Regions from separate parts of the Mus musculus genome. Here all the other regions are reported to be linked to region 3. Evidence: microRNA targets listed by miRTarBase, many of them from high-throughput screens and not tested one by one. Region 3 holds a microRNA gene; each other region holds the end of a gene's coding sequence.
Evidence for each region. Region 3 holds the annotated microRNA mmu-miR-324-3p (CCACUGCCCCAGGUGCUGCU, at 3,420-3,439, opposite strand). A microRNA usually pairs through its seed, bases 2 to 8, with sites in the 3' UTR of a target mRNA and lowers its output. Matches are read on the target gene's strand: a 7mer-m8 pairs with bases 2 to 8, a 7mer-A1 pairs with bases 2 to 7 and ends in A, and an 8mer does both.

Region 1: the mRNA of Chrna4 is a reported target of mmu-miR-324-3p. Seed matches in the 3' UTR shown: 7mer-A1 at 1,829-1,835.
Region 2: miRTarBase lists 4931428F04Rik as a target of mmu-miR-324-3p. Seed matches in the 3' UTR shown: 7mer-m8 at 2,727-2,733.
Region 4: miRTarBase lists Cav2 as a target of mmu-miR-324-3p. Seed matches in the 3' UTR shown: 7mer-A1 at 6,239-6,245.

What each region holds. Positions count from the first base shown.
Region 1 is chr2:181,018,584-181,026,062 of GRCm38, reverse strand. Chrna4 (cholinergic receptor, nicotinic, alpha polypeptide 4) reads left to right here. Exons shown (of 6, transcript NM_015730.5): 6 at 1,184-3,752. The coding sequence ends at 1,309. Among named protein-coding and RNA genes, the nearest start is that of Gm30797, 6.6 kb to the right of the region's middle.
Region 2 is chr8:105,275,930-105,283,478 of GRCm38, reverse strand. It overlaps 4931428F04Rik (RIKEN cDNA 4931428F04 gene), which reads left to right. Exons shown (of 8, transcript NM_028888.2): 6 at 1-304; 7 at 395-492; 8 at 1,335-3,070. The coding sequence ends at 1,499. Nol3 (nucleolar protein 3 (apoptosis repressor with CARD domain)) reads right to left here and starts at 7,032. Exons shown (of 4, transcript NM_030152.4): 1 at 6,866-7,032; 2 at 4,209-4,505; 3 at 3,704-4,063; 4 at 1,540-3,584. The coding sequence starts at 4,503. The coding sequence ends at 3,577.
Region 3 is chr11:70,007,985-70,015,533 of GRCm38, reverse strand. It overlaps Mir324 (microRNA 324), which reads right to left and starts at 3,491; the gene lies at 3,403-3,491. Dvl2 (dishevelled segment polarity protein 2) reads right to left here. Exons shown (of 15, transcript NM_007888.4): 12 at 7,383-7,514; 13 at 7,074-7,253; 14 at 6,539-6,757; 15 at 5,425-6,390. The coding sequence ends at 5,942. Acadvl (acyl-Coenzyme A dehydrogenase, very long chain) reads left to right here and starts at 106. Exons shown (of 20, transcript NM_017366.3): 1 at 106-271; 2 at 339-417; 3 at 676-741; 4 at 831-903; 5 at 991-1,055; 6 at 1,155-1,289; 7 at 1,956-2,100; 8 at 2,233-2,362; 9 at 2,451-2,576; 10 at 2,888-3,086; 11 at 3,244-3,348; 12 at 3,764-3,850; 13 at 3,936-3,998; 14 at 4,088-4,189; 6 more. The coding sequence starts at 210. The coding sequence ends at 5,238.
Region 4 is chr6:17,285,999-17,293,547 of GRCm38, reverse strand. It overlaps Cav2 (caveolin 2), which reads right to left. Exons shown (of 3, transcript NM_016900.4): 3 at 4,418-6,651. The coding sequence ends at 6,501. Among named protein-coding and RNA genes, the nearest start is that of Cav2, 8.6 kb to the right of the region's middle.

The DNA.
Region 1 (7,479 bases), not on the chromosome of region 3:
GCTACTTTGCATCAGGCCCTGGAAGAAGCTAGAGTCCACACTGTGGGATCCAGAAGTGTGTGTAGAAGGAGCCATTAGTCATTTGGACGTCATCGTCACCATGTGCTATATAGCACGGTCCAATGAGGATTGACTGGGTAGTCACAAACGGTGGATATATATATATCATTCTTTTGTGTGCATCTTGCCACCATTCACCCTCTGTCTCTGACCATCCTCCCTTCTTGGAACATCTCCTGGCACCACTGCCTCCCCACCAGTGCCTGCTCAGGCTGGCTATGCTGCCCATGTAAGAAGTAGGTGTGCATGGTCAGAAGCAGACCAGGGGGCAGTTGGGCACTTAGGCCTTGCTTTTGGGATGGCCTTAGTGATCAATCCATTACCCAGCATGTCCTGGCTCTTACCCTCTGGACTAGGACACGTGGCTGACATCTTTCTGAGATCCACTTTTTCTTAATTTGATTTTATGCTATGTGTATGGATGTTTTGATTACATGTATGTCTGTGTGTCACATGCATGCCTGCTGCCAGCAGAAGCCAGAGAGTGTGTCAAATCCCTTGAAAAGGGAGTTATGGATGGTTGTGTCCACCATGTAGGAGTTGGGAATTGAACCCAGGATCTCTTGAAGAGCAGCCAGTGCTCTTAACCACTGAGCCATCTCTCCAGCCCCTGGGATCCACTTCTGACATCTGCACTGTGAGAAGATAGACTCAGCCTCTGTGCTGCTACCAGCTTTAGAAAACATAAGACATACTTCATCCCGAAGTCATGGGCCCTTTGTCTGGCCAAAGTAGGCCCAATGAGCTACATTTTGAGCTTAGGCAGCCTGCCAAGCAGGTAAGACCAGCTAGTGTACAACATGATCCCCAAGCCTTCTGTGGCGGTGTGGACTACCAGAAAGCACTCAGATGTGTCTGAATTCAAAGACCCCACACATGCAGCCTTAGATATGGGTTCTATAGATGCCCAGTCCACCTCATATGTTACCTCCCTCTGTTCTACCTAGCAGCAGCCTCTCTGACCCTGCAGATTCTCTGGCCATGCTCTGTCTCACCACATCAGTGTACAGATGTGTATCTGATGGGAAATACAGAAACTGTGGCTCATAGTGCCAGGTTCCAGAAGATTCTATGGTTGCCCATGGTATCTGAGAGCTAGAATGACCCATGTCTGTGTTTGCAGGTGAAGGAGGACTGGAAATACGTGGCCATGGTCATTGACCGAATCTTCCTCTGGATGTTCATCATTGTCTGCCTTCTGGGCACTGTGGGACTCTTCCTGCCTCCATGGTTGGCTGGTATGATCTAGGGAATAGCGGCACCTAGCTCCCAGGTCTCTACAGGGCCATGCGACTCGTCAGTCACCCACATCTTCCAAACCGGCCATGAGACACCTAGGAGAGAGAGATGCTGCCCTGGTTGACCCTGGTTCTAGTCAGGCCACAGGCCTGGTTGGAGCTAGTTGAGGACTGATATAGTTACAGGCTGAGTCCCTCATTAAAGTTTCTCCAGAGCAAGTGACAGTCACTCCCTGGCTTACAGACAGCACACACCCATCTGTGTCACAGAGAATGATCCAGTGTTGATCTCAGTTGTCCTTTGAGGCCAAAACAATTCATCCCCCTTCAGGAACCAGAGCCCCTCGTGCTGTGGGATTCCTACGGCCCAGGAAATTCCCATGGTGCTCTGCTGGCCACACCCTCTCCCTCCCCATAATGTGGTTCCCTCAACCCTCCAGGCTGGGCTGCTCTCTGACTCAAAGGTGTCAGATGTAAGCCCCGGCAGGTTTTTATTTTGTTTAGGTTGAAGCGAATTGGTAAGAAATAGAGCAGTGAGATATGTGGATGAGTCCCACTCACAGGTGAATGAGTGCAGGGTCTCACAGGAAGAGTGAGGCACCACAGGACTCCTGCTTCCATCTCAGGGTCACAGGCATCAATCATGAGCATTTCCTAGGGTCCATAAACCCGAGGAGGGCAAGGGCATAGAGGGTCTCAGGGTTGTGATGGAGCCAAATCCTGTCCAGGGCCTGGGCCGTTCATCCCCTCATGGATCTTCCTTGATATCCCTGTATGTTTCTGCCTCTCTGGAATTAGAAGACTGAAAGTAAGATTTCTCATCACGGTCCTGTGGTGTGGCCACAGTTCACCTGAGCACATCTCTCTAGACCAGTAGGAGTGGTGCGAAGCCCCTTCAATGTTGTAGAATAGCGTGAGCTGCCAAGAGACTTCTAAGCAAAACAGGCTCTGTGACTCATTTTTCGAGGGCCATCGACCAAGTCTTAGGGGTGCCTCACCCTGTCTGCCTTGCACTTAGGGAAGACCCGAGAGGTTCCTCTTCCCCTTCCCAAGATGGCACCAGGCAACCTAGAGAACCCACCGTGGTGGGATGGGAGAACGAACATGCTGTGCACATCTCTATGAGATTCCACTGAGTGAAGCCCAGAACATGGGAGGCATGCAAGAAATCACCCTGTGTCGTGGTCCCAGTTGACCCTCCGCTGTCTCCACCAGCCAGGTGGGTTTCACAGAGCTGGGCCCTGCACCCTCAGCCAAGCTGTTCTAGGCCCTGAAGCTGAGGTCCCTGTTTGGATAGTCCTGGGGACTGCAGAATGAAAGAAGAACTTAATGAACGCACCAAGCCTCCAGTAGGTACGGCTGCCACCTCCGTGGTATGACTTGCCCATCCCAGCTGAATGAGGATGTCAGGAAGGAGGTATGCCAGAGGGCCAGCATTGCCTTTACCTGACTACCTACAGGCAAATCCACCTTTAAACACAGAGCTGCTGGACATCCAGGGTGCTGGTGGGAAAGGAACTCCACACTGGGAGCCCCAGGCCATTCCTATGAACAGGAAGGGGATGCAGAGGCCTGGTCTCTGAACTCTGGATATTGTTCCAGGTCTTCCCTAGAGTCCTAAGGGCATCGAGGATCCCATCTGCCATGTTTCAGTCTGCCCTCCACTGACTGACTAGATCTCTAGCCCCTATATTGGAACTGTCGGGATGCTGCAAGATGACCCTGGTGGGGAAATTCATGCCAGAATCTGGGGACCAAGGGGAACACAAGCCCCAGTGATGAAGACAGCAGGTAACACCTGACAGATGTGTGTTCTACCATTATGGTGCATACGTGGCTCCAACCACAAGAAATGCAGACAACAGTGGAGATCAGGGCAAGGCCATTGTGACATGGAACAGGACCGCTGTGCTGGTCTCTTCAGGGTTAGGAAAACTGAACTGCTGGGATGCTCCTGACAGGCTACCCACTTCCCCCTACCCCCCAACACACATTCACAAGCCAGAAAAGGAAAATAAAACACCGTGTTCTCCCCATTCCCACTCAGCCGGCCTTTTGTCTGCCTGCTTCCAGTGTTGATATGTGTTCAAGATAAAGTTCAGTTAGGGCAGAATGCTTGATTTAAGACTTTTGAACCAGTGAGCTTTAAAGAACAGAGACTGTGTGGCCCCAGCCCCTCTGATACGTAGACATTATCTCCCCAAAGCTCCCAGTCCTCCCAGTCTACCCCATCCCATTAGACAGCATCAACTCAAATGTGAGTCTTGGAGACCAGTTCGGCTAGCCATCATATGTCTGGGAATCCCATATTGGACTCTGCAATGTCTGGCTTCTTTCGCTTGTGTGGCCAAGGCTCATCTGCGGTGTTGTGTGTGATAGACTCATTGCTGTTGTGTGCTTGTTGGATCTTAGTTGTTTCTGTCTGAATAAACCGAGTCGTGGTGTCTTCCCCCATCAGCGTGTGGCCCTGTCTTCATTTCCAGGTGTCAGTAAAGGTGCTGCTGAGTACCTATGTTCATCTCTGTGGGCATGTGTTGCCATTTCTCTTTTGTTAATAATGTTTTTTGCTTTTGTATGCTACGATGTCTTGACATGTTGGGGGCCTATCAGACTCAAGACTGCTGTTTCCACAGCTGGCCAATTACTAGTGCTCAATTTGCTCGGAGCCTACCCACCTTCGTGGCTGATGGGCCATCTACAATATTCCTTATAAAATTTACACAAGAGCCAGCCACAAGACAACTGGAGGCTGTTTTGTAACCCAGAGCTTGAGGAAGTGTCCAGAATATCACAGGATATTTCCTCTATGTGCACTGAGCCCCTCACAGAAACCCCCGTGAAGGTGGGGCTACCTCATTCCCTCACATACCTTCTCTGATGGACCTGGTACCCCCCAATCCTGGCACGACATCTTCTCAGTAATTGCAACTGACACCCATGCTATAATGCCATCAACCTCCCAGGGAGTCCCTTGTCTCCCTGGTAAACTAAGATCTAGGTACAGAGCCCTGGGGTCCATCCCACACAGATAACTCACCCTACAGGTTGGAAGTAGCCTTACTGTTGCCATAGCTCTTGGGCTCTGGTGCTTTTCCACTAAAGACATTTGAGAATCCACTGCTTTATACTCTGGGTCTCTTGCCACCCATAGAAATTAAGATGCATTGGTACAAAGCCACTAGCTGGTTTTGGAAGTGTCCTGCCCTTTTGGGGGAAACCTGCAGATCCCTGGTATGTGTCCATGGTGTGCACACGGGTTTTTTTAAAAAGCTACATGAGAACATTCCTGGCTCCTGCTGCTTTATTCTAGTCTCTTCCATTTCAGTCTGTAGAAAAATGCCAGTTGCAACTCCCCAAATTGATTTGCTGCTGACCCGCAGCTGGAAGCACACTGCTCAGGACACAATACCAAGGGGAAGGGTAGAATTATCAGGCCCTGGCGTTTGCACTGGGATTTAGATGATTCAAAGCACTTTCCACTCAGATATGCCGTTTACACTTGTTGTTTGCAGGTAGGAATTTCCATTACTTTAATCCTGCCTGACATTTCTTGCTATTTGCTGGCCTCACGGGTGACGTGCAGATAGAATGCACAGACCGTCAGCATGCCTACATATACTTTCTTTCTTACTGTAACTGCTTATGTCACCAGTACCCAGAAGCTGTCAGTCTCCACTGTGTATCCACTTCTGCATCTAGCTTATGTGGGTTCCATACTGTAGGCTGTACTGCTGCGCCTGGCTTCCCTCAGCCTGTTTGGGATTCATCTGTTTACACTGATGGATAGTTTACCATATGGTGATGAGATGCCAGTTCTCGTGTGCTTACTGTGTGACTACCACACCATTTATTCACCCATTTTCTTTGCAATGGATGTTTGGGTGGTCCCAGGTTGTCGTTGTATGAGAAGTGCTGCTGTGGAGGGTTAGGGTGTGCATACCAGTTTTTCATCCCAACACCGGGAGGGAGAGGCATGAGAATGAAGGGTTCAAGGCCACCCTCAACTACATTTTGAGTTTGAGGCCAGATTGAACGATGTGAGACTTTGTCTTGAACAAATCACCACCAACAGCAAAAACATACAAAGGGCTGGGAGTCAGCACAGTGGGTAAAGTGTTTTCCATGTATCCATAAAGACCCGTGTTCAGATCTCCAGCACCCATATAAGAGCAGAGAATGGTGGCGACTATCTATAACTCCATAAACATTTTTCGCAATTCTCTCAGACAAGCAGGTCCCCAGGTTGGTTAGTAAGTCTAGCCAAACTGGTGAGCTCCAATTTCAGTGAGTAACCAAATCTCAAAAAAATCAGATGGGAAGCAGTAGATATTACTTCCTACCCCCACAAACCACACATACCACACACAAATACACACACACACACACAACATCACCATCACTACCACACACACATACACACACATCACCACACACATACACACACACACACCACACACATACACCATTACCACCACACACCATACACATACACACCCAAACCCCACACCACCATCACACCCCACACCACACACACACCACCACCATCACACACACATACATCCTGCACACCATACACACACACACCACACACACATACACACACCATCACCACCACACACATACACACACACACCATCACCACCACATAACACACACACACACTGCATCACACACACATACTGCATCACACACACATACTGCATCACACACATACACATACACCATCACCACACACAAACACATCATCACCACACACATACATACACACACACCACACACACCATCACCACATACACATCACACACGCACCATCACCACACACTCACAAACACACACACCATTACCAGCACACACCATACACATACACAACCACACCCCACACTACCATCACCACACACACACACACACACACACACACACACCACCACCACCACTACCACCACCACCACCACACACACACACAATAATAATTATTGTAATTTTAAAATATTATCTACATGTTTCTATTGGGAAAATACACAAGGCCAGAAAAGACTTGAACACCATTGTTGTCTGCTGGCCTGGCTAGCATTTCTTGAATCTTCTCTCAAACAGCAGGAAGCATGCTTATTCTTTTCAAATGTACATGGGACAGTGGCCACGACAGACCACATGCAAGGCCTGAAAGCAAGTGGGACTGAATTCATGACTGGGTTAGCAGAGTATTTTCCTGACTAGCAAAGAATCAACTAGAACACTGTGTCTGTTTCAGAGGGATTTAGAGAGTATGTCTTTCCATCAGTGAAACATATTTACGGTAATTTCTGCCACACTGGGAGATTTATTGTTTAATATGTTCTAAACCCTGCACAGGGGAAACCCGATCTAATCAGCCGCTCTGGACACTCGCTCTTTTGGTTCTCATTCTAGAAGCTGCTCCTTGCTTATGGCAAACACTTGTAAAACAAAGCTTTCCGTATTGATTGGAAACACCACTGTGCCTCCACCTCCTGAGAACAGGACACCCTGCTGCCTTTGGCACTAGTTCATTAGAATATTCTAGAATGGCCTTGTTTTAGACTACTGCTGAGTGACTACCTGAGGCAGAGGGAGGTTGTTGTCAGTCTGCTCACACCATCCCCAGTCCTTTGTAGAGGTCTCCATGAGTGCCTGAAGGTGTTGTGGTCCTTAGAATATCCTTTGCCCTCATCCTAGATATGAGATGTGAGTGTTTCCCCTCTGCCCGCTGAGTGCCCCCTCAGTTTTTTGTCTGGGTAGTTTGGACTGTAGATTCATTAGGAATGAGTGTTCCAGTTGGGCAGTGGTGGTGCACGCCTTTAATCCCAGCACTCAGGAGGCAGACTTCTGAGTTCGAGGCCAGCCTGGTCTACAGAGTGAGTTCCAGGACAGCCAGGACTATGGAGAGAAACCCTGTCTCGAAAAACAAAAGAGTGAGTGTTCCTTCTGTCTTTACCACATGTGATGCTAAGGACATATTTCACAATCCACCTATTGACTCTCATGGCTCTGTCATCAGTCTGAGATCTGAGATCTTTCTCTGATGTTCCAGTCTTCAAAGCCTTGTTACCTCAGTATACCAGTGCTCCATTTATGACTGCCTCCCTCCTCTAGGCCTCATCATGAGGCTGCTGTCAACAAGTTCCCCACACCTCTCTCGACTCAGGCTCCTGGACACGCTCTC
Region 2 (7,549 bases), not on the chromosome of region 3:
ACCCACTACCTGCGTGGTGTGAATAATTCGCGGCAACCGTGGCACAGCACTGAAGGCAGATTGCAGTACGGCCTTCAGCCAGCCAACCCTACTGAGGAGGGCCTGGCTAGCCTGCATAGTGTGCTGTTTCGAAAGCAACCATTCCTGTGGCGCGCCGCCCTGCTCTACTACACCATCCACCAGGCGGCGCACATGTCCTTCCGCCAGCTCTTCCAGGATCTGGCGCAGTACGTGCAGGACGAGGGTGTACGCTGGGAGTACTGCGTCCGTGCCAAGCGAGGACAGACGGATACCTCCCAGCCAGGTGGGAACTGTGGAGTCGCAAGAATGCTCAAGCTGGCGCAAGGTGAAGGGTGGCTTTTGGGTAAGGCTCGATTGGTTATCCTTCTCACAGGCTGCTTCAGCAAGGACCAGGTGTACCTGGATGGCATTTTGCGCATCCTACGGCACCGGCACACCATTGATTTCCAGCTGCTGACCTCGCTGGGCAAGGTAAAGGGCCGAAAGGCCCAGCCAGCTCTTTCTTCTTTAGAGTTATGTTTGGTGAAGGCCTCGACACTTGGGAAGGCAGACAAAATGAGACAAAGTTTTGGTAGCACAGATCAGGTGTGTGACCTAGCCTGCAGATGTGTACATAGGTGTTAAGGGAGGTGAGCACTCCAAGGCAGGGAGAGGTCAAGAAGTTCTGGGGAAGAAGGTGGGAGAAATGGCCAGGGACCAAAGCCCAGGTCTTGTACCAGGTTGAGGCAAACCTCGATAGAAGCAAAGGGGGGGGGGGAGTATCGTAAATGTGTGGGCATGGATTTTCTTTAAAAGGCTCCAACTGAATGTTCTGTGGGAAGTGCAGGAAATGGAAGACCTAGATAGGCAAGAGAAGGAGGTCTTCCATCACTCTTACAGAATTGATAATGGCAAAGCTATAAACTACAGATAAAAGAACTGTTGGACTCCCTGAATGGGGAAATGAGAACCTAGTCGGCCTTTCTTGGACCTGATTGTGGTGACTATGCAGAGGGGAGGACAGACAGCTGACATTCAACAGTCTCCTGTTGGATGTGGGAGATAACCCGAGAGAGAGACCCAGGTATCAGTTGGATACCATTTAGAGGTGAGGAGATAAGGTGGGCTGGAGAGGAATGGGTTGTACAACGTAGATAAAAGATAGAGAGAGAAAGATAGAAGATCCAGGGCAGAGCCTGAAGGTATCTATTGTAGGAGTCGATGAAGAATATACACAATCATCTCAGGAGCAAATGGCCCTGAGCCATGGGTAGATCCTGGACTTGAAAGCCAGGCACTTTGATTAGCTCTGAGGCTCAGTTTGCTTCCTATAGGTCTCCTATGAAGACGTGGAACAACTGCGGCCCTACGGGGTGCTAGACAATACCAGAGTGCCCCACTTCATGAAGGACTTGGAACGTTACCGGCAGCAGCTGGAACACATCATGACCACCAACCGGCTGGATGAAGCGGAGCTGGGCCGCCTGCTGCCTGACTGATGTTGACTAAGGGTTATAGACAGACGCTCTTGACAGAGGTCACAGATCGGAATATGAAGTTCTTTATGGTTCCATAGCCTAGGTGTTTCTTGGGGGCATTTGGGAGGCCAGGAGCATCGTGGGCAGATGAGAAGCAACGTTAGAAGGTTTTTGTCCTTGCTACCCTTCCTGGGGCCTGTGAACTGCAGCAGCATGTCACATAAACTCCTGAGCAGGGGAGATGGGAGGGCGATGAGATGGGAGCTGAGTGTGAATAGAAATGTGGGTTGGTTTGGGAATAGAAACTTGTTCCTGCATGAGATGGCTTTGGGTGTCTGGTACCACTCCTTCCCTTCCCCCTACCTGGCCGATTGGTGCTCCTTCTACACTCATACCTCTACCTCTCACTGGGGCCAGCAGGAGTTGGGAACCCCTCTGAGGTGATTTGCCTGAGCATGGGGTTCCGGCTGTCACTCAGGCTCAGAGACCCAGCTGGGCTGGGCTTTGCCTTTCAGCATTCTGTCTGTCTCACTGGTCATGCATTGTTCCATAGTCGCCCTCATGGGGTCATTTCATGCCTCCAGGCGGGGCCCGGAAGTAGTAGTAGTAGTAGTAGTAGTAGTAGTAGTAGTAGTAGTAGTAGTTCCATGTAGGGGCAGGATCCTTTGGAAAAGTACCGTATGTTCCTAGACCCCTTCCTTCCTTCCTTCCTTCCTTCCTTCTTTCCTTCCTTCCTTCCTTCCTTCCTTCCTTCCTTCCTTCCTTCCCTCTCCCTCTCTCCCTCTTCCTTCCTTCCTTCCTCCCTCTCTCCCTCTTCCTTCCTTCCTTCCTTCCTTCCTTCCTTCCTTCCTTCCTCCCTCCCTCCCTCTCCCTCTCTCTCTCTCTCTTCCTTCCTTCCTTCCTTCCTTCCTTCCTTCCTTCCTTCTTTTCTTTCAAAGACTTATTTATTTTATGTATACGAGTACACTGTAGCTGTCTTCAGACACACTAGAAGAGGGCATCAGATTCCATTACAGATGGTTGTGAGCCGCCATGTGGTTGCTGGGAGTAGAACTCAGGACCTCTGGGAAAGCAGTCAGTGCTCTTAACCACTGAGCCATCTCTCCAGCCCCCTAGACCCCCTTTCTTATCACTCACACAGACACACTGTGTCTTGTGTCTTGTGAGTCCAGCACCTGGTCCCACCCTCAGTCCCCATGTTAGTCTTGGTTGTGCCTGTCTTTAACCACAGCCTCACAGCTGGTCTCTGGCAGTGGTTAGGACAGGCGGGAGCAACCACAATCAAACCTACAGGGCAGGCCCTAGGGTTTGTTATCCCACGTTCAGGCCAGGATTAGTACAGAGCTGGTTAAGGCTTTCATTTCACTTCAGATTCAGCGGTGGGAGAGTGAGCTAGTACTGTCCTAACCCTGGCTTTTCAGTTAATGTTTCCATCTGTGAAGCTTGGAAACACAGCTGGGAAGTTTGTATTCATTTACTTAGTAGATATGTGCAGAGCTCCTTGTGTATGTCTGTGACTGGTTAGACCCCACGCCCCTCACTGAGCTCCCAGTTCAGAGGAAAGCCAGACAATTAAACAGCAGTTACAATGATGTGTGTGGCTTCTGTCTACTCAAGTTTCCTCTCAGGTCCTCCCTGCAAGACTGTGAGCGCCAAGACTTCTCTCCATGTGTGGATGGACATCCCCCTTCACTTGCTTGGTACACCAAGCCGAGTGATTTCCATGGATTAGAAGTGTTGCCCACTCGGCCTCCCAAATGGCCCCTGAGGGGAATAAAGTGGGTGAGGGAGGGTCAGATTTGGGGGCCTGCATCTGAGATCTCCAGAATTACAGCTTGGGCTCTTTGGGAAGTGGAATGTTTTTGAGGGGATGGGGGTATTTTCACACAAGCCTGCTCAGGTCAGTGGGATTCAGACCCACGCTCACCCTCAGTTCTTGAGCAAAGAGCCAGACTTGTGGAGAGTCAGGAACAGACTGACCCTCCTGAGTTTATTCATTTGGCAGTAGGTGTCTCGGTGCATCGATGGGGTCAAGCTCTGGCAGGTTTCCAGGTCTTATCCAGCACAAATAGGATTGGACAGCTAAGGATTCTGGCCTTCAGGAATCTGGAGATGAAAATGATGGTTAGTGGAATAGGGATCAACCCCCCCCCCCCACACACACACACTTTGCAGTCCACAACCCGTAACAAGCCTGCAAGCAAGGGTTTAGGCGCTCTCACAACCTTCAGATTCATCCTCTTCTTGGAAGTCGGGCTCGGGTTCGGGTTCCGGCTCGGGCTCGGGTTCTGGCTCGGGCTCGGGTTCCGGCTCGGGCTCGGGTTCGGGTTCTGGCTCGGGCTCCGGCTCCGGCTCTTGTTCTGGATTCATTTCTTGTTCCAGGTCTGGCTCATCCCCTTCAGTAGCTTCAGCTTCTAGTTCTGGCTCCTCTGGAGTTCGAGGCTGCAGTGCCTCAGAGCCCTCAGGACCTCCGACCTCCTCTTGCTCTGACGCTCTTGGCAGCTCAGGACATGTGGTCCCTGAACTGGGTGCTTCTGGCGTCCAGTGGCCTGGGCATGAAGGGTCATAGCTGCGGTTCCGGTAGCCTGGGAAGGAAGAGGGAGTACTTGAGGTTCAGTTCACCCCTCTGTGGTTACCTCCAAATTCTCTGCCCTCCATTTACCCTTTGCTTCGCCCTGCCCCTAATCCACGCCCTTCGATTCATCAAGGCTCCACCCTCTTGGTGCTCACCGGGCCCCACGTGCTGCCAATCCCAGGCCGGGTCTGGCATGCGCACTGTTTGCTGGGCACAGCGCAGTAGCTCCTGGCAGGCTGCCTCGCCCTTGCTCTGCACCAACAGCAGTAGGCGGCGCACCCTGCGCTCTGCATCGGGCAGCGCATCCAAGGCTTCGTACTCGGGCCCAGTGAGGACGCCCCGGGCCACCAGCGCATCCAGCAGCAGCCCAGAGTCAGCCTGCAATGTCTCTACCAGCCGTTTCCGTTCCCGGTCAATGGTCTCTGATGGGCGCTCCTGCACGTTGCCCATTTCTGCTGTGTCAAGAAGGAGAGAAGGGGGCGGGGCGTAATTTGCGTTACTCTACGCTGACCAGGAGTTATCTAAGTTCACCTCAACATCAGAGTCTGGATGGTTGCTCAGCGCAAGACCTAGAGGCCAGGGGCCCAGAACGCACCCTCCAGCTTCTTGGCTGCTTCTGTCCTGATTCCTCAGGTTTCTTTTGCAGACTCCACCTGTCAGTGGAGTGCTCTTCCCAGCTAGGACCTCCCTCCCTCCTAAGCCCCAGACACCTGCACAGTTGGCTACCAGTTGAGACCCAGTTTATCCAACTGAATTATTTTGTCTGAACCCAATTCCTTACCTAAATAGGCAGAAAACCCTAGGCTTGATTCATACCTTCTTCCTCGCCCCTGCAGCAAACCTTGGATCAAGGGCAGCCTGCCTGATCGCTCATACAATCGGGTCTGCACCCGAAGGGCCAAGGCACCCGTGTTCCATTCACCTAACACGGAGGTCCAGGCATCCCAGAACCTTGCCCCTTCATTCACCACCGTCCGCAGCCTCAACATAGTCTTGGGACTCTTCCAGGTTATCGTAGCACAACTGAACTTTAATTTTGAGAGATCTCCTGGTATCAGGGACCCACTTGTTTCCCTAATGGCCCGGCAGTCACTTACAGCCATTTCTTATTTGACCTTGAAATGCCCAGCTCTTAAAAGCCACTAGGAGTGCTTACCAGACTTTTAGCTTCCCCTCCATGGATTACCCATTTTGAGAGGCTGCCTGTACCAAACCGTAGGAACCAAGTATGAATTAATCTCCTCTGCTCATTTTTTATCAGCTCCTGCCTATCATGACTACCTCCCAACGAGTTGGGTGTCCTAACCCAGCCAATAAGGGCCCTGACTTTAAGGAAAAAAGAAACCTGGCCATTCCCTCTGCCTTCTCTTTATTCATACAGCATCCTTCTAAGTCTCCCCTGCCTTTTTGTTTGTTTATTTGTTTGCTTTTTGTTTTCGAGACAGGATTTCTCTGTGTAGCCCTGGCTGTCCTGGAACTCACTCTGTAGACCAGGCTGGTCTCGAACTCAGAAATCCGCCTGCCTCTGCCTCCCAAGCCCTGGTCTCCTCTGCCTTAAATGTTCCTGTTTCTACCTTCTTCCTGGCCCATTGAGTCATATCCCCCAACCCCTGCCCCACACATATCAAAAGTCCCATGCCTCAGTACTCACACTGTCCTGTCCCTGGGCACTTCACACCTTGGGTCTCCATCCCTCATATCTGTTGGTCCTTCTCCCCCAAGGCCACTAAGCGCAGACAGGGTACTCCTCCAACCCACATCTCCCTTCATGCCCCATCCCTGTCAGATGTCTTTTAATCAGTCTCCATTAGCTTCTTCTCCTTAAACCCAGCAGCAGCCGATTGCCTCCCGGGACAATAAATATCTCTGCGCACTTCTCTCACACCCCACGCCTCCCTTCACTCCAACATTGTGACTTTTGACAACTCTGGGGTAGAATTTATCTTTCCGGTTTTATGGATGAAGAGGCAGGTTCGGAGGAACCCAGTACAACTGGAATCTGACTTGCCCTAGCCTAAACTATAATGTTCCTTGTCTAGCTGAATGGCAGGCGTAGACACCCACCCTTTGTCTCCAGTACTCACCAAAGAATCTAAGCTACTAGTCTGGCTATTTTAACCCCCTCCCACCACTCTGGACAGCTAGGTTTCCATCCAACCATTCAGTCCTGTGAGAACTATGGTCCTAGCACTTTAGCCTTTGCCAACGCTGGTCCCTGGGCCTGGGATACTTGTCTCTCCCCTCTACTCTGTGGACCCAGCCCTTAACACTCAAATGCTCCCATGTCTACCCCAATTCCTGAGAGTTCAAAGGTTCGGAGCTCCTTCTGTGTGCCTTGGTCCTCACTACTGTGTTTACTGGGATCCACACTACACTGTATTCAGGACCTCTGCTGTCCTCAATGAGGCTTCCAAAGACTGTCTCCCACCACTGGTTACAGAGAAGGGGGTGATGTCAGCTCCTGTTCTGGCCCGACTTCGAGGCAGGATTGGCCTCCTCTTTCCCCCCTCTGTACCCTGAGTTTATGTTAGCTGTGTTTCTCTGAGGTTATCACAGCTCTAAGGTGAATGCTGGCTATGCCCTGTTCAGTGCATCAAAGAACAAGTCTAAATAGTACCCTGAGCCCCAGGTGGAGAAGTAAGACCTGGTAATTTTTTGGGATCCCTAGCTTGCTGGCTGAATGAGATTTGTTATTGTGGGTGGGAAACCAGGAGCGGGAGCTGGTCACGCATGCGCGACTGCAAGGGTACCCTCACCAGCCCTCCACTCAGTCCTAGAGCTTCAGTCCCGCGGAAGGGTGGGGCCCACAGACCTTCGAACTCCGCTGCTGGTGGTGAGGCCTGGGATTCTGCCCAATCTGTCTCCTTTCCCTCCCTGCTGGGTGGAGTCGGGCTTGTGGTCCGGAGCGTTTCGGATAGTCCCACTCCGGAGTTGAGCCTCACCGGGGCAGATGACAGTGCAGAAAGGGCCAAGCGAGCGAGCGAGCGGGGTGGGTACGCGAACAGCAGCTGCAACAGGGGCGGGGCGGCCAGGGCTGCTGGGAATGGCGTGGGGGAAGGGCATGCTTCACTGGCTCTGCGAACTCTGGTGGCGACGCTGGTGGAGGCGTGCTGGCAGGGGTGGTCACATAGTCCGCTACCCTTCCCTGTCCCAAAGCACCCGGATTTGAGTCAGGGGGTGGGTACAGCTCACAGTCTCACTTGTCCAGCCCTCTCTGGACCTTCTAATTGCTAGGTGCTTTTAATTTTCCTTTCCACGACTCCTCCATCTGCCTGTCACAGGTAAGTTTAGAGAAAGGAGCCGACTTGCCCAGAATCAGACACACGTGTATTGAGCTGGATGTGGCACAGAAACTCCTGCTTCCTGGAGGTTACAGTGGCCGGGGCAGGCCAACATCTCGGTGCAAGTAGGAAAGTTAGGCACTGGCTCTCCAAGTACACTGGCTCTTTCTCTTCCATGAAAGTCCGAGCGTATAGATGTTTCTAAGTCCAAACAC
Region 3 (7,549 bases):
TTGAAGATGGATCACCCTAGGTCAGGTAGAATACAGGGACCGGGCACACGTCGGAACTTCAGCTCCCACCATGCATCGAGGCCCAAGACCACGCCCCCACCACGCAGTGCATTGTGGAGCATGAGTCAGGGCCCAGACACACAACCTTTGGGCAGGCGAGACGCGAAGAGAAGAGGTCAGTGGTCAAGACTTCGGCGGCGGCTTTGGAGATGCAGTCGGCTCGGATGACCCCGAGTGTGGGGCGACAGCTGCTGCGGCTGGGGGCCCGAAGGTCCGTATATAGCAAGGGGACACTGGGTCTGGGAACCAGGGCAGAACTGAACCCCGACTCCTTACAGCTCGCGATCTACTACTGTGCTTCAGGGACAACCCCGGCCTATCTCTGCCCAGCGACTTTATGCCAGGGAGGCCACTCAGGTAAGTGACAGTGGATGAGGGAGACGGACGTAGAAATGCGAGTTGCCAGTTCCCACTAGCCTGCGACCGACAGGGGTCTCTCTCTTCGACCCAGTCACCTGGTGGCAGTTCTGTCACTGAAAGTAGGGGAAAGGGCACGCCAGGGTGCCCTAGTGAGAAAGTAATGGAACATGCACCAAACGCACTTCCTAGAGCTAGCGCTTCCTGCACACCTTTTAAGACCCATCTCCAGCCTAACTGCTCTGCCCTTCCCTCCAGGCAGTTCTGGACAAGCCAGAAACCCTCTCCTCTGATGCTTCCACCAGAGAAAAACCAGCCAGGGCAGTAAGTGACTGGAAACTGGACTGACACTTAAAAACCAGGAGTAGAATCACCCCAGGCACCCACCTAAGATCCTTTCCTTCCTTGCCTAGGAATCGAAGTCCTTTGCTGTGGGGATGTTCAAAGGCCAGCTTACCATTGATCAGGTGTTCCCATACCCATCTGGTAAGTAAAGGCTTAGTCAGTCACTGACAGTGTGGGCAGGGGAGCCCTCTCTGCCTGACTAGCCTGCTCTTCTCTCCCATTATACAGTGCTCAGTGAAGAACAGGCACAATTTCTCAAAGAGCTGGTGGGACCAGTGGCCCGGTTCTTTGAGGTAAGGGATGACCAGAGCTCAGCCCCTCCTGGGCTAAGTAAGATGCTAAGGAGCTTAAAGGAGCCTCTGAATATGAGATTCTTCCTATTCCTTGCTCAGGAAGTGAATGACCCTGCCAAGAACGACGCCTTGGAGAAGGTGGAGGACGACACTTTGCAGGGACTCAAGGAACTGGGGGCATTTGGCCTGCAAGTACCCAGCGAGCTGGGTGGTTTGGGCCTCTCTAATACCCAGGTGAGAGGATCCCCCTGGTTAACATTCCACAGTGCTCCAGTTTTGGTAGACTCACCACTAGGGCCAAGCAAGTAGCCAGAGTAGTGTCTACCTGCCTGCCCTTTTTCTCACACATTTTCCCCTGAAACATGATCTGTGTGCAGCCCACTAGGACCGTGGACCTAACTGTGGTTCCCAGGTCTTTGGGGACTGTGTGAGGCAACACAGCAGGCAACCTTCCCATCAAGACCAAGGGCAGCTGGGCACAGTGGCACTCATCTTTAATCCCAGCATGGAGGATGGAGGCAGAGGCGGGCGGATCTCGAGTTCAAGGCCAGCATGGTCTACAGAGGGAGTTTCAGGACAGTCAGGGAAACCCACAAAGTTTCAGGCTAGCTGGAGCTACAAAATGAAACTGCCTCAAAAGGGGGGGGGGGGATTATCTAAGCCCTTTGATGTTCCTGCTCCTGTCTCCTTAGGAAAGACTCCAGGGTTTCATGCTAGAGAAGCAGCCTACCTGGGAGCCCCATGGCCAGCCTCCCTGTGCCCTGTCCAAACCCACTCCACTCCCCATGCTCAGAGTAGAGATGCTCCAAGCCCCAGGCCAGGTCTGCCCTGCTGCCCATTCTTGTTGAGGACAAGTTCAGTGCAGCCAGCTACAATCCCAGATGCCTCCTTTCCCTCCAGTATGCTCGCTTGGCAGAGATTGTGGGCATGCATGACCTTGGTGTTAGCGTTACCCTGGGAGCTCATCAGAGCATCGGTTTCAAAGGCATCTTGCTCTATGGCACAAAGGCCCAGAGAGAAAAATACCTTCCCAGAGTGGCATCTGGTAAGGCAACCTTAAGAGACCCAGGGGTAAGGAGTGTGACACTGCTCACGGTGTTACAAGGAACTGCCTGGGGATGAGGGGGTGCAACTCTGGTGGTCAGGATCCCCAGTGAGCCCGTTCTCTCCCCCACAGGGCAGGCTTTGGCTGCTTTCTGCCTAACAGAGCCCTCGAGTGGATCCGATGTAGCCTCCATCCGAAGCTCAGCCATACCCAGCCCCTGTGGAAAATATTACACTCTCAATGGGAGCAAGATCTGGATCAGGCAATCTTCCGTTTCTCTTCTACCCTTCAGCCCAGTGGCCTGACCCTGCTGCTCTAAACCCTATACTAACCACCTCACTCTTCCACAGTAATGGGGGCCTGGCTGACATTTTCACTGTCTTTGCCAAGACGCCAATTAAAGATGCAGCCACGGGGGCCGTGAAAGAGAAGATCACAGCTTTTGTAGTGGAAAGGAGCTTCGGAGGGGTTACCCAGTGAGTATGGGGCAAAACAGAATCAAGGATGGGGACAGCACTGGGCTCTCAAGAGCAAATAGTCAATACAGGCCACGCTGGGGCTATCTCTGTACAAGAGGCACCCACAGGAGGTGAGCAGTTTTGTTTCCACTGGGGGAACACAGGCTAACAGGCCATAGCTAGATATCCGTAGCCCCTGGGGCACATAGGCAGTGCCCTGTATCCTTTTTATAGTCTGGGGAGTTCTCCCCTGATCATGAGACCCGAAAAGGCCGTTTTCCCCCACAGCAACCTGTTCATACCTCAACTTTCCTGCCCTGCCTTTTCAGTGGGCTCCCTGAAAAGAAGATGGGCATCAAAGCATCTAACACGTCAGAGGTGTACTTTGATGGAGTGAAGGTGCCATCAGAGAATGTGCTAGGAGAGGTGGGAGATGGCTTCAAGGTTGCTGTCAACATCCTCAACAACGGAAGATTCGGGATGGCTGCAACCCTCGCAGGCACCATGAAATCCCTCATTGCCAAGGCGGTGAGTCCCAGCCCAGTCCCTAGCTAGCACATGTCCCTGACTGCCTCAGAGCGCCGACACACACACATGCACACTCGACCATCGGCACAGTTAGGCCTCCAGCCCGTCCAGGTGGAAACTGAAGAACCACAGTGGGGTAACATGCGCCCTCTTGCAGGTTGATCATGCTACTAATCGTACCCAGTTTGGGGACAAAATTCACAACTTTGGGGTGATCCAGGAAAAGCTGGCTCGGATGGCTATTCTGCAGTATGTGACTGAGGTAAGGGCCTCCTGGGCCCCTTCCCTGGAGCCCTATGGCTTTCTTCACAGTTGGGTCAGACTACAACCCCCAGCAGCACCTGGGGCAGTGGGTCTCCAGCTTTACACCAATGCCCTAGGGGATGCGAGGAGGCATAGTCAGTTCTCTTCTGGAGGGTGGTGCTGCTCTGCTAAATGCTGCCCAGATGCACCAAACACGACTTTTAACCCACCCCTTTACAAAGTCGGAAGCCTCGAAGCCCCTGATATACCAGAGGGTCACATATTGGACATATTTGACCTGACCAGGAGGCTAAAGTGAATTCAAGGGTTGGAGGAGTAGATCAGCACTGGTCTTGAAGGTCTGAGCATTAGCCATTCTGTCTGATGCAGCCCTTCCCTGTTGTCTTCCCCATGTCCCGACCATGCTCCCTTAGTCCATGGCTTACATGCTGAGTGCCAACATGGACCAGGGATTCAAAGACTTCCAGATAGAAGCCGCCATCAGCAAAATCTTTTGCTCGGTGAGGACCCAGGTGTGATGGGAGGGCGGAGTCCAGATTAGGACCTCAGCTCAAAAATCCAACTCATCTGGTTCTCTGTCCTCAGGAGGCGGCCTGGAAAGTGGCAGATGAGTGCATCCAAATAATGGGGGGCATGGGCTTCATGAAGGTACAGAGTATTCCTCGGCAGGGGGGGGCATCTGTTCAGAGTGGACAGGCACATCTCAACAGAGGTTTCTGTGTCTTCCTGCGTGCCAGGAACCAGGGGTGGAGCGTGTGCTCCGAGATATTCGAATCTTCCGGATCTTTGAAGGGGCAAATGACATTCTTCGACTGTTTGTGGCTCTGCAAGGCTGTATGGTAAGAGGAAGGAGGATGAGAGAGAGCAGCTGGGGAGGACACTGAGTCCTCACTGTCGCCGTCCCCCTTCTCTCCACAGGACAAAGGAAAGGAACTCACTGGGCTGGGCAATGCCCTGAAGAATCCTTTTGGAAACGTTGGCCTCCTGATGGGAGAAGCAGGCAAACAGCTGAGACGGTACCTCATGGGCCGGGGCCAGGGTCAGAGTCAGGGTCAAACAAGATGGGAGGCCGCAACTGACCAGTCACTCTTCCATCTCCTCTCAGGAGGACAGGAATCGGCAGTGGTTTGAGTCTGTCAGGGATTGTCCACCCAGAGTTAAGTCGCAGTGGTGAACTGGTGAGTGAGCCTTAAAGCAGAGCCTGCGGTGGCTGTGCGCTGCCTTCCTCTCCTGAGCTCTGTCTGTGACTCTTGTCTCTTCAGGCAGTGCAGGCTCTGGATCAATTTGCCACCGTGGTGGAGGCCAAGCTGGTGAAACACAAGAAAGGGATTGTCAGTGAGTGAGCTCTGCAACCCCCTTCCCTCCCTGATTCCCTCCCTCCGACTAACAGCCCCACCCTCATCTACCTGACAGACGAGCAGTTCCTGCTGCAGCGACTGGCGGACGGCGCCATTGACCTCTATGCCATGGTGGTGGTTCTGTCCAGGTAAGGCGGCAGCGAGGGACGCTTGGCAGGCTAGAGCCACAGAGGAGCTGGGCCAACACCAGCACTCAGGATCATTTTAACCTCTGTTTCCTCACAGAGCCTCAAGGTCCCTGAGTGAGGGCTACCCGACGGCACAGCATGAGAAAATGCTCTGTGATAGCTGGTGCATTGAGGTGAGCCTTGGAGCTCCCCAGTACAGGTGGGCCTTGGAGCTCCCCAGTACAGGACGGCCTGACCGTCCCTCCCCTTCCCTCTCCCCAGGCTGCAACTCGGATCCGAGAAAACATGGCCAGTCTGCAGTCCAGCCCTCAGCATCAGGAGCTCTTCCGGAACTTCAGAAGCATCTCCAAGGCCATGGTGGAGAATGGTGGCCTGGTCACCGGTAACCCCCTGGGAATCTGAGACTCCCAATCAGGCCCTGGCAAGGTCATGTGCCTTCTCTGATGCCAAAACCCTTTATGGGGGTGATGGAGTACTTATTGCCTTAACAATAAATTTTCTACCAAGTCACTGTCTGCCGTGAATGTCACTGCTCCCTCCTCTCCACTGCCTGCCTCGCAAAGAAAGGAGCCAGAGGCTTGGGGAGTTGGCCTCTATTTGCTTTATTTGGTGTTTTGTACAAGTGACTAAAATAAATAGAGTAACAAAGGCAGCTACACAGTCCCCAACACACCACCAGCCTCCTTGGACTGCTGTCTGGGGTACCCAGCCCACACCTTCTTCTTCCCAGGGTACCACTGACCACCACCCACCCTCAACATGAGAGCTGACTAGGCACCTGGAGGTGGCGGTCATATTCTGGGGTTAGAAGGGATTCTCCATATAAAAGAGGAACTGTCTATTTAAAAAAATACTCCCCCAAATATAAGAAAGTCTATTTTAACCCCCCAAAAAGCTTATAAAAAATAAAGCTAAAAATAACCAAAGGTCCCCATCTACCCCCGAGGAAGAGGGGGAAGGACCAGGCACTGCTGGTGAGAGTCACAGTGGCAAAAACGTTTTGGTAGGCACCAGCCGCCAGGCTGAGCCCAGGCACTATGAAGGGCACCAGGCTGAAACTTGCCAGGCCAAGGGCACAGACCCAATGTGGCCTCAAGATGGGTCCCTACATAACATCCACAAAAAACTCACTGGGGTTGCCCATGGCCATGTGGAAGCTCTGACGGCTAGCTGTCAGTTCTGGGGGCACGGAGCCCAGGTCTCTGACTGGAGGGGCACCAGGGGGCTGCACTGCTGTGGAGACAGGGGGTGGGGGTGGAGGCATCATAACTACCATCATGGGGTTATAGGGGAGAGCCATGCCAGATGGGGCTCCATAGGGATGGAGCCCGGGAAGAGCTCGGAGATTAGGAGGAGCGCCTGTCGAGCCCCTGGATGGAGGAGGGCCGCCATCACCAGTCCCACCAGGCTCCCCACCCCGCCGAAGGCTGCCTCCCCGGCTGGAGAGTTCTGACTCACTGCCACTGCCGGACTTGGACTCAGGGGCCCGTTCCTCAGGCCTGCCTGTGCGCCCAGCCCCCCCATCGCTTCTTGTCGACCCGCTGCTCCGGCTCCCTGTTGGAGGGCAGAGGTGACGAGGAAAATGAAGCTCAGCCCAGAGTCCTCAGGATCCCAGTCCCTGCTCTTGCCTCTCCTCCCCGAATCCGCTCTACTTGTGCCCACTTTCTCTGGCTGTACTGGTACGTGGGAGTGGGTCACTTACCCTCACTGTGCTGGCTGCTGGCACTGCCTCCACCATAGGTGTACGAAGAAAGCTCGTGGTAGGGTGGAGGCTGGGGGCTGTAGGGGTGTGGCGCTGGATACTGGTAGGAGAAGGTGGGCAGCAGGGGCCAGGGAGTAGCTCCAGGCAGAGGTGCCAGGGTATCCTGGTCTGAAGCCCCACTGGAACCGTCATTGTCATTCAGAGAGAGGTTAACTAGGTCTGGAAAAAAATGGAAGAGAGGTCCCTGCTTTAGGAGGCCAGGATTCCTGAGAACAGAGAAACCTGAGCCATTTCCCCAGAGCTCCCCACGAGACAAAAGCCAGAGACCATGATGGCTTACAACAGGAAACTCTGCTGCTCTGGCAGAGAAACAGCCAGGACTCTCACCAATAGCCCCAAAATGCTTTTGTGAGCCCCGTGCAGCACTCTTTCCCTTGGGGATGCAGCTCAGGTACCTCGCTTACTCAGCAGTACTACTCAGCAGTACCGGGGCACACATCAGCCTGAGCTCCTACAGCCAGACCTGCTGACTTACAACTCTCACAGCCACCACTGAGGTCCCCGAAGACATAATAGCACTGCTCAGAGAAAGTAATCTTGTTGACGGTGTGCCGGATGAGTCCCGCCTTCAACAGCCCACTGGCATACTTGCGGGCCTCCCGGCGCTCAGGAAAACCTTCCACGTGATGGTACAGCCAGTCCACCACATCGGAGCCTGGGATCCAGCACAGCAAACAGGTCAGACTCTCCTCCCAGCTCCTCCCCTCCCCTCCACCTTGTGTTGTGCCCAGCTTTGGCCTCCTCCCCACCTTCCCATGCCACCTTGCTCAGGGCCTGGGAATACCTAGAAAGGCGTTTGGGATGGTGATCTTGAGCCACATGCGGTCCCGGACTTCGAGCCCAGACTCTGGGGCTGCCATGGCCTTGGTGACAGAGGCCATGTCCATGTGGACAGAGAGACCCCGGCCTTCGCAGCCTGATAGGAGAGACCACGGAGAACTTACGAAAGGT
Region 4 (7,549 bases), not on the chromosome of region 3:
GCTCCACAGATGACCTGTTGCTCTCATCTCTTCCTGAATCATTTATATTGGCGAGCAATATTTGCCCTTGGTGACATGCTGTTTCCCACCGAGTCCCGTCTCTTCCTTCCTCTAATCCTCCTCCACCTCTACTTCTTCCCATAAAGGCAAAATAACTTCTCCAGCCGAGCACCCACGCTGGGTAACATAACACGCACAAGGGCAGTCAGATAGGTGTCCCTGTCCTATTTTGGGGTAATTGTTGGAGTGGTGTCCTCTGATTTCTCTGACTGCTCTGTGGTATCCTTTCTCTGTCACAGACACCATAGCTGGGATCAACAGTGGACCCGGGCAAGGTGAAAGAGACACAAGTGGTCACAGCTATACTTGGATTTTCATCTTCAGTTTTGCTCACTGGATGCTCTTTAGGGTATTTGGTTCCTGCAGAGCCCCCAGGCTTCCCCCAGGCCCCCTTTCATTCAATAAGACAAAAGCAATTCTTTGTGGAGAAAAAGAAGTCTCTTTTGTGGACTGGATTCTCTCCACTCCTATTCAGTTTCCACCGAACCCTGCTTAGGAATATGAAGCAGAGGTCTCCAAAGCAAGCTGGGGAGGGTCAAGGTCAGGGCCATTGTAGCCGCCTGTCTTTTCGTCTATAGCCGGGCTTTCTTCTTGGTCTGTGTATGTGCTCCATATGGTACTCAGGGCTCTTCCTGGGCACGTCCCTTCTGCAGTGTTCAATATCCCCTTTAGACCATCCATTCATAGTGAAGTTTAAAATATAAGGCTGCTAATCAATTGAAACGTGACCCTACTCAAGGTTATTTTCCACTTAAAAGGCATCAGAGGTAAGAAACCTGTGGCAGCTTTCAGATGTTTCCCAGAGGGAGGCTAGAGGGTACAAAAGTGATTTTAAACTAGGACTAGGGGGAGCCTTCTTTTGCTCATTTTACTACTTAGAAGTGAAGAGGGAAGACACTTGGTGAGTTGACCCCAAATTATTCTTATTCCTTGAATCTCTAGCCTGCATATCTAGTGCACTGGTATCCTTTGCCTCCCCCATCTGTCTGTTTTTCAGAGAAAATGTCCTGCATCCTCATTTGTGATGAGCTGCGTCAGCTGTGCGAAGGGCTCTTTGTGTCTTTACCCACTTTCTTTCCGTGGCTGCTTCACATAAACCCTACAACCTTTGGAAACTCCTGTTATCTTATGGAAACACTCTGTAATGATGCAGCTGCAGCCACAGAAATGGGGCAGTTCATATGGTCTCTTACCATACAAAGCCATTTAATTTGTCCTAGTGTTCAATTGACACAATGTATAGAATGTGTTTTCTGAGATGCAACATTCTACAGAAGCGATGCTTCCGTTGATTTCAGTGGGGAATGGGATAATGAAAGAAACTCCCGTTCCAAAAACCACACAGGCAAGACGACAAGAAAGTTTCCAAGTTGTACAGATCCCTGTTCTTGACAATTTGAAAACAGGTTCGGATAAAGGCAACACAGAATTAGACAGGCGTGTCTTGAGTAAGAAATATCATGTTTGGACGTTTGGTTCCCTGCTGATAGAGCTGCAGGAAGGTAGAGACCTTTAGGATGTGGAGCCTGCCTGAAGAAGCAGGGTGTACGGGGAGGGTCTAAAGTTTTTAGCTGAGCCTTCCTCCCTGCACTCTGCTTCCTGATTGCAATAAAACTAAGTTCTTCACACTCTTGTTCTATGCCTTTCCCCACCACAACCAAGTGTTTCTCTTCCTAAAGCATGAGTCAAAATAAACCCCTTAAATTGTATATGTCAGGTATTTTGTTATAGCAGTGACATGTGTAAGCAACACAACTGGTATTGCCCCAAAGGAAGGAATGCACATCATATGTCTTACGTAAGGTCTAGTTTTCCCATAGTGATTCATGAGCATGAAAATCATGCATATGAACTTTTGCCATAATCAGTCTGTTTTGCTCTCCTTTGAAATGTGACTCTTACTCCTAATTCTGCAAGCACCTCAGATTTTGCTTAATCATTTATTCCTCTAGTTACTCATTTAGGAAACATTTCCTCAGGCATGGTAGCACACGCCTTTAATCCCAGCACTTGGGAGGCAGAGGCAGGCCAATTTCTGAGTTTGAGGCCAGCCTGGTCTACAGAGTGAATTCCGGGACAGCCAGGGCTACACAGAGAAACCCTGTCTCGAAAAACCAAAAGAAGGAGAAGAAGAAGAAAAAGAAGAAGAAGAAAAAGGAGGAGGAGGAGGAGGAGAAAGAGGAGGAGGAGGAGGAAGAAGAGGAGGAGGAGGAGAAGAAGAAGGAGAAGAAGGAAGAAAACATTTCCTGAATTCATTTGGTTGCCAGCCTTCCAGAATCTTAGGAATCAAACGTGGAGATGCGTTGGGTCCTTAAGCAGCTGTATAATGGGGCTAGTTAACATTGTATATGATAATAGAAAGACTCTTTAATGGTGACAATGTGATAAGCCTTGTGCATGTCACTCAAAAGTTTGATCATATAAGGGTGATCATTTATAGCCAATGTTTTAAGTCAAGGAGATGGAATAGCTTTGATAGGATAACATTTTTAAGGGAAGGACCTTTGAGCAGATATTGACAGAGAGGGTAAGGCCAGCTGGGAGCGCTGGATGACAGCCAGGCTGAGGGTGAAGATGATAATGGCAATGGTGGTTGCCAATCAGCTTTCCATTGCTTGGGCCTTTGATGTAACTTGGAGATAGAAAGAATTATTTTGGGATCATATTTTCTTTTAGATGTTTCAATTGCTTGGCCCTGTTGACTTTGGGCTGTAGTGAGGGAGAACATTTGCATTAGAACAAACTGCTTACTGAAATGGTACCCAGGAACTAAGAGGAGAGAGACAGCAAGGAGCTGAGATCCCAGTATCTTCTTCTACACTTTCAAAGACATGGCTTGTTTCATTTAGACCCAGACTACTAAAGGTTCTACCAACTTCCAAAAGCACCACTGGCAGGTGACCAAGCCTTTAGGATATGAGTCTTTTGGGGAACATTTGAGATCCAAACCATAACATCTATCAAAATGTTGATTTTGTTAGTAAATCTTCAAATTAATATGAATTTATTTAAAATGTACCAAAACATGTTACTTTAGGGAATAGAATGATAATATTTGAGCTTATAAAAATCTAAAAGTTTTTGTCATAAAGAATCAAAGTCATAAAAAAGTCCTATAATCAATAGAAGAGTACAAAGTATATCTGTGAATGTATGTTCTATATCTCAACTGAGTAATTGACTACATTTCTCCCCCACCTCCTTTTCCTCCTCCTCCTCCTCTTCTTCCTCCTCTTCCTCTTCCTCTGTCTTCTTCTCCTCCTCATTATTATCATTACTATTATTGTTGTTGTTGTTAAAGTTCCTAGACTAAATAGCTAAATGTGTAAAGTGCAGCAACATGTGGAGATTTGGCAGGAACATTTAACTCAGTATTTTCCCTACAGATAAGAAATCCAAGACTCAGATGCTAAGCCATTTGCAGAAGGTGAACTACAGGAGTCGTGGTAGTGCTGAGGGTGGAATGGGGATGTCTCACTTCTAGGGCAGGGAGCATTTTCCTGCAGCAACAGCTTCCAAGAAAGACTTGAAACTAAATGAATGGGATTTAGATGACTAGTAAAAAGAGGGACTTTTAAAGTTCTTTCAATCTATAAAGAACATTCGAAAGCAGCCAAATATCTGATTTATTAACAGATTAATTGACCACAAGAAAGTCTGTGCCAATATCAACAGTTGTTCCTCACACACTTACTCTCCAAAAATAATTTTGGAGAAATCTGGCTTTGGGATACAAGGTATTTTAGTATGTGAGTTATAATGGTATCACTTTCATATTTAAGACTTAGAAATAGAGGCATCAGTTTATTTAGGATTAGCAACATGAAACTTTACAAAGCTCGAGCGTGGTTGGTTTGTGAGCAAGCCACCACATATTAGTTATCAAATGACAGGAACATTTATGCAGAATCTCTTCAAGTGCTAGGAAAACAGAGAACTAAACGATCAGTCTCATAATTCTTCAGGACAACATTCTTTTTCCTCATGTGCATTTGCAGTGTGTGCGTCCACATTCTCTCCTGTGTGCACACACTTGTGTACGTGGTTGTGCACTCAGCTGTATGCATGCAGAGGTCTGGGGTTTGATGTCAGAAGTCTTCTATTACTATTCACCTTGTTGGCTGAGGCAAGATTTCTCAGCTGACCTCGGAGCTTGTGGATATGACTAGTCGGCCAGCTGGCCCTGGAGATCCCATCTCTGTTTTTGGAATGATGGAGCTAAAAATGGACTGCCAAGTTTGCATGGCTTCTATCTGGGTTCTGGGAATCCAAAACTCTAATTTGCTTGTATGGCAAGTACCATAACCATTTACCCATCTCTTCATCCTGACAGATACATCTTGGAACAGCAACTCGTGTCCTTGTTATTTGAGATTTTAAGAAACTTTATTTGAAAAGGTTCTTGTTCCTGAGTACCAGATGTACGACATAAGCAGCAGAAAGACAAACTATAATAGAATCAATGAAATCATCCACTGTTTTTAGAGATGTTTATTATGGATAATAAGGGAATTTCTTTGCCTCTGACTTCCAATTGCCCTGCCCCCAAAATCAACATATTTGCATATTTAACTTTGATTCCTTTTATCCACAATTTGAGTTTTTGAGACAAAATAATTCATGAAAAGTTTCAGTAAAAGTTCAGTTGAAAGTAATCAATACTATTTAGGAAAAGGAAATCATATATATTAAAAATTAAAGATTTTTATATATAATTATACATATTTGTCTTAAAATCTGTCAGAACTATTTTAAAAGGTTGAAGCTTATAATTTATTAAACTGATATTTTATTGTTAAAGTTTTGACTAATCAATACACCCAGGCATTTAAAACTTAAATTACAAAAATAATATAAAGCATGAGACTGACCTTGGAAACTAGTGTGATACAATCTTGACAGTCACATTAATGGCGATGCTTGTGGCTATTACCAAGCTATGACTTCGTTTACTGAGGATGGTACAATACCCTAAGGCTGTTTTGAAATGTTTCTTTTATGATTACCATCAAATTGATATGAGTTTTATCACTTAGTCTCTTAATATGATATTTTGACCTGGTCTGCAATAGAATCCCAGTTCAATGACCTATAATAATGACCAGAATTGAAAAATTGAAAAAAATTTATCTTCTTTCAGTGAAGATTTGACACCCATGAGCATATTCGAGCAAATGCTCATTCAGGGTTTGATAATAATTCTGAAATTTGAAATATTATGTAATTATAATGTAGAAATTTTTTAACATACCAATTTTTAAAAGACCATACTGAGTAAGGAAATAATGTTTTATAGGTTTTAAGATTCATACTAGAGAACATCTTGAAAATTTGTAATGTTAGTTTCTAATTTACACATGTACTTCAGTTTTATAAACCCTCACAATTGTTAATTCTCCTGTAAGTTTCTCTATATGAACCACTGTAGTAAAAAAAAAAATGTGCTTAGATGTTAGACACAGCCTTTATCATAAAAAATATTATTAACTAGCACCAGAATTACTTGAAAGTAAGTGAAGCATTCATAGGAATGTAGAATACAGAATAAGTTTCTAACCATTCAGAAGAAAACTTATAGTAAACAAAACAACTACATGTCTACATGTCTTATGGTCACAGCCAGATGAAGCCCAGTCATAAAACATTTGCTGGGTAAGTTGGAGAGAACACCTAGACAGCACATTTTACACTGCATTCCAAAGAATCTATCAACATTCTCCTATAGGACATCACAGTCTTACAAAGAAAGTTACCCTATGGTAGCTCTGCTTACTTTATATAATGAGATTAGTACAATAGCAAACACAAGAGAAACACACTCCAAAGCGATTTCATTAGAGTAACACTTGCATTAGGTATACAATATACAGAAAAACAAAACATCTTGTTAAATAGGCTTGCAGGCTAATAATATCACAGAGGAACACATTTTCACATTTATCTCTCTTACTATTCAATAGTTATTATCATAAGTATATACTTTTGTTAATGTACAAAGTTCCTAGAATGTTGGAATGTATTGCCTCTAGCTAGCCTTATGACCATATCTGTAAAAGTAGCTTCAAGAACATTACTCCTAGAGGAAAAGAAAATAAGAAATTCCTTACTCTTTATGAGCAGTTATGCACAAAATTACTCTAATGTCTGAGGAAGTTGCCCTTTGACCATTATCAAGTCATCACTGCAATTGTATGTTTTTTCCTAAAGATATCTGTTCTTACATTGGGTGTTGCCAATTCTTGTTATATAATTAGATATAACTTGGCTTTTGGTGAGAAAAATCATTATTTTTAAAGATCTGACAGTGAACTTCGATAAATCTGGGTTCCATTTTAAGAATAATTTTAACAGTTGGGAAGTGAACAGAACAGTAGTGAGTTTGTTGCATCAATAAAGTTGTACAGTATCCAAATGTCTGGACCTGCCCAGGGTCTGAGTGGTCAGTCGTGGCTCAGTTGCATGCTGACCGATGAGAAGCTGCGGCCCACACTTGTACACAATGGGCCAATGACAACGTCTGTCACACTCTTCCATATTGTCTGCACGGAAGGCAAGACCATTAGGCAGGTCTTCACAAAAGGCATCAGGATCCTGGAACGGGGGGAAGAGGGAGATACAAGCATTGTTAATATTACCACTAACAATTTGCATTACCAAGTAAGGGGCCTGACACACATGCTTGAACAAATACAATAATGACTTAACTCAAATGCGCTTTTAACAGTTCACAATAAATAAATGGACAGTGGCCAGTATGGTAAGAGGAGCGAGAGGCACACTGTTTAACAGATAAACAGGCACATAGATGATAAATATTAATATTCTTTCTGCTGGTGGAAACGGTAAAACAAAAATAAACAAAGAGGCTTATTTCTCTGCCAGATCTCTGCCCCTAAACATTAACTGGCTAGCACTTCCTGTTTCTCTGAGAGTCTACTTCCTGCCTGCCTTTCCTGTGGCCTCTCTCTTTGGCTCCTCTCTTAGCTAGTCTAGTTGGGAGCCTCCTCATTGCATTTTTAATGTACTGAAACAAACTTAGCGACTTTCAAATTTATCAAAAACACATGGTAAGTAGATAGTCTTTCCTTCTAGATTATATGCTGAACTTTTTCTTTCATCAAGACATGTGTGGAAAAGAACTTAGTATTTTGTTCAGCTTCATATTGTTATCAGCATTCACAACATTAATGACTGAATATTATTATTCTCCATAGTAATGACACTCACCAAGAAGGCCTGTGTACTGTAGTTAAAAGAGAAAATGTTTATTCCCACGTGTTTGTATACCTTTTCTTAAGATAGCTTAATATTCTTCAGTTACCCAGGTCAAATTTTTGTGTAATCCCCTGAATAATGTTTTCTTTGAGAAAAAAAAAAAGGAAAATGTGAGTTTTGAACTCTGCCAGAGTTTTGTTTTTGTTTTTTGTTTTTTTTTTCAAGACAGAGTTTCTCTGTGTAGCCCTGGCTGTCCTGGAACTCACTCTGTAGA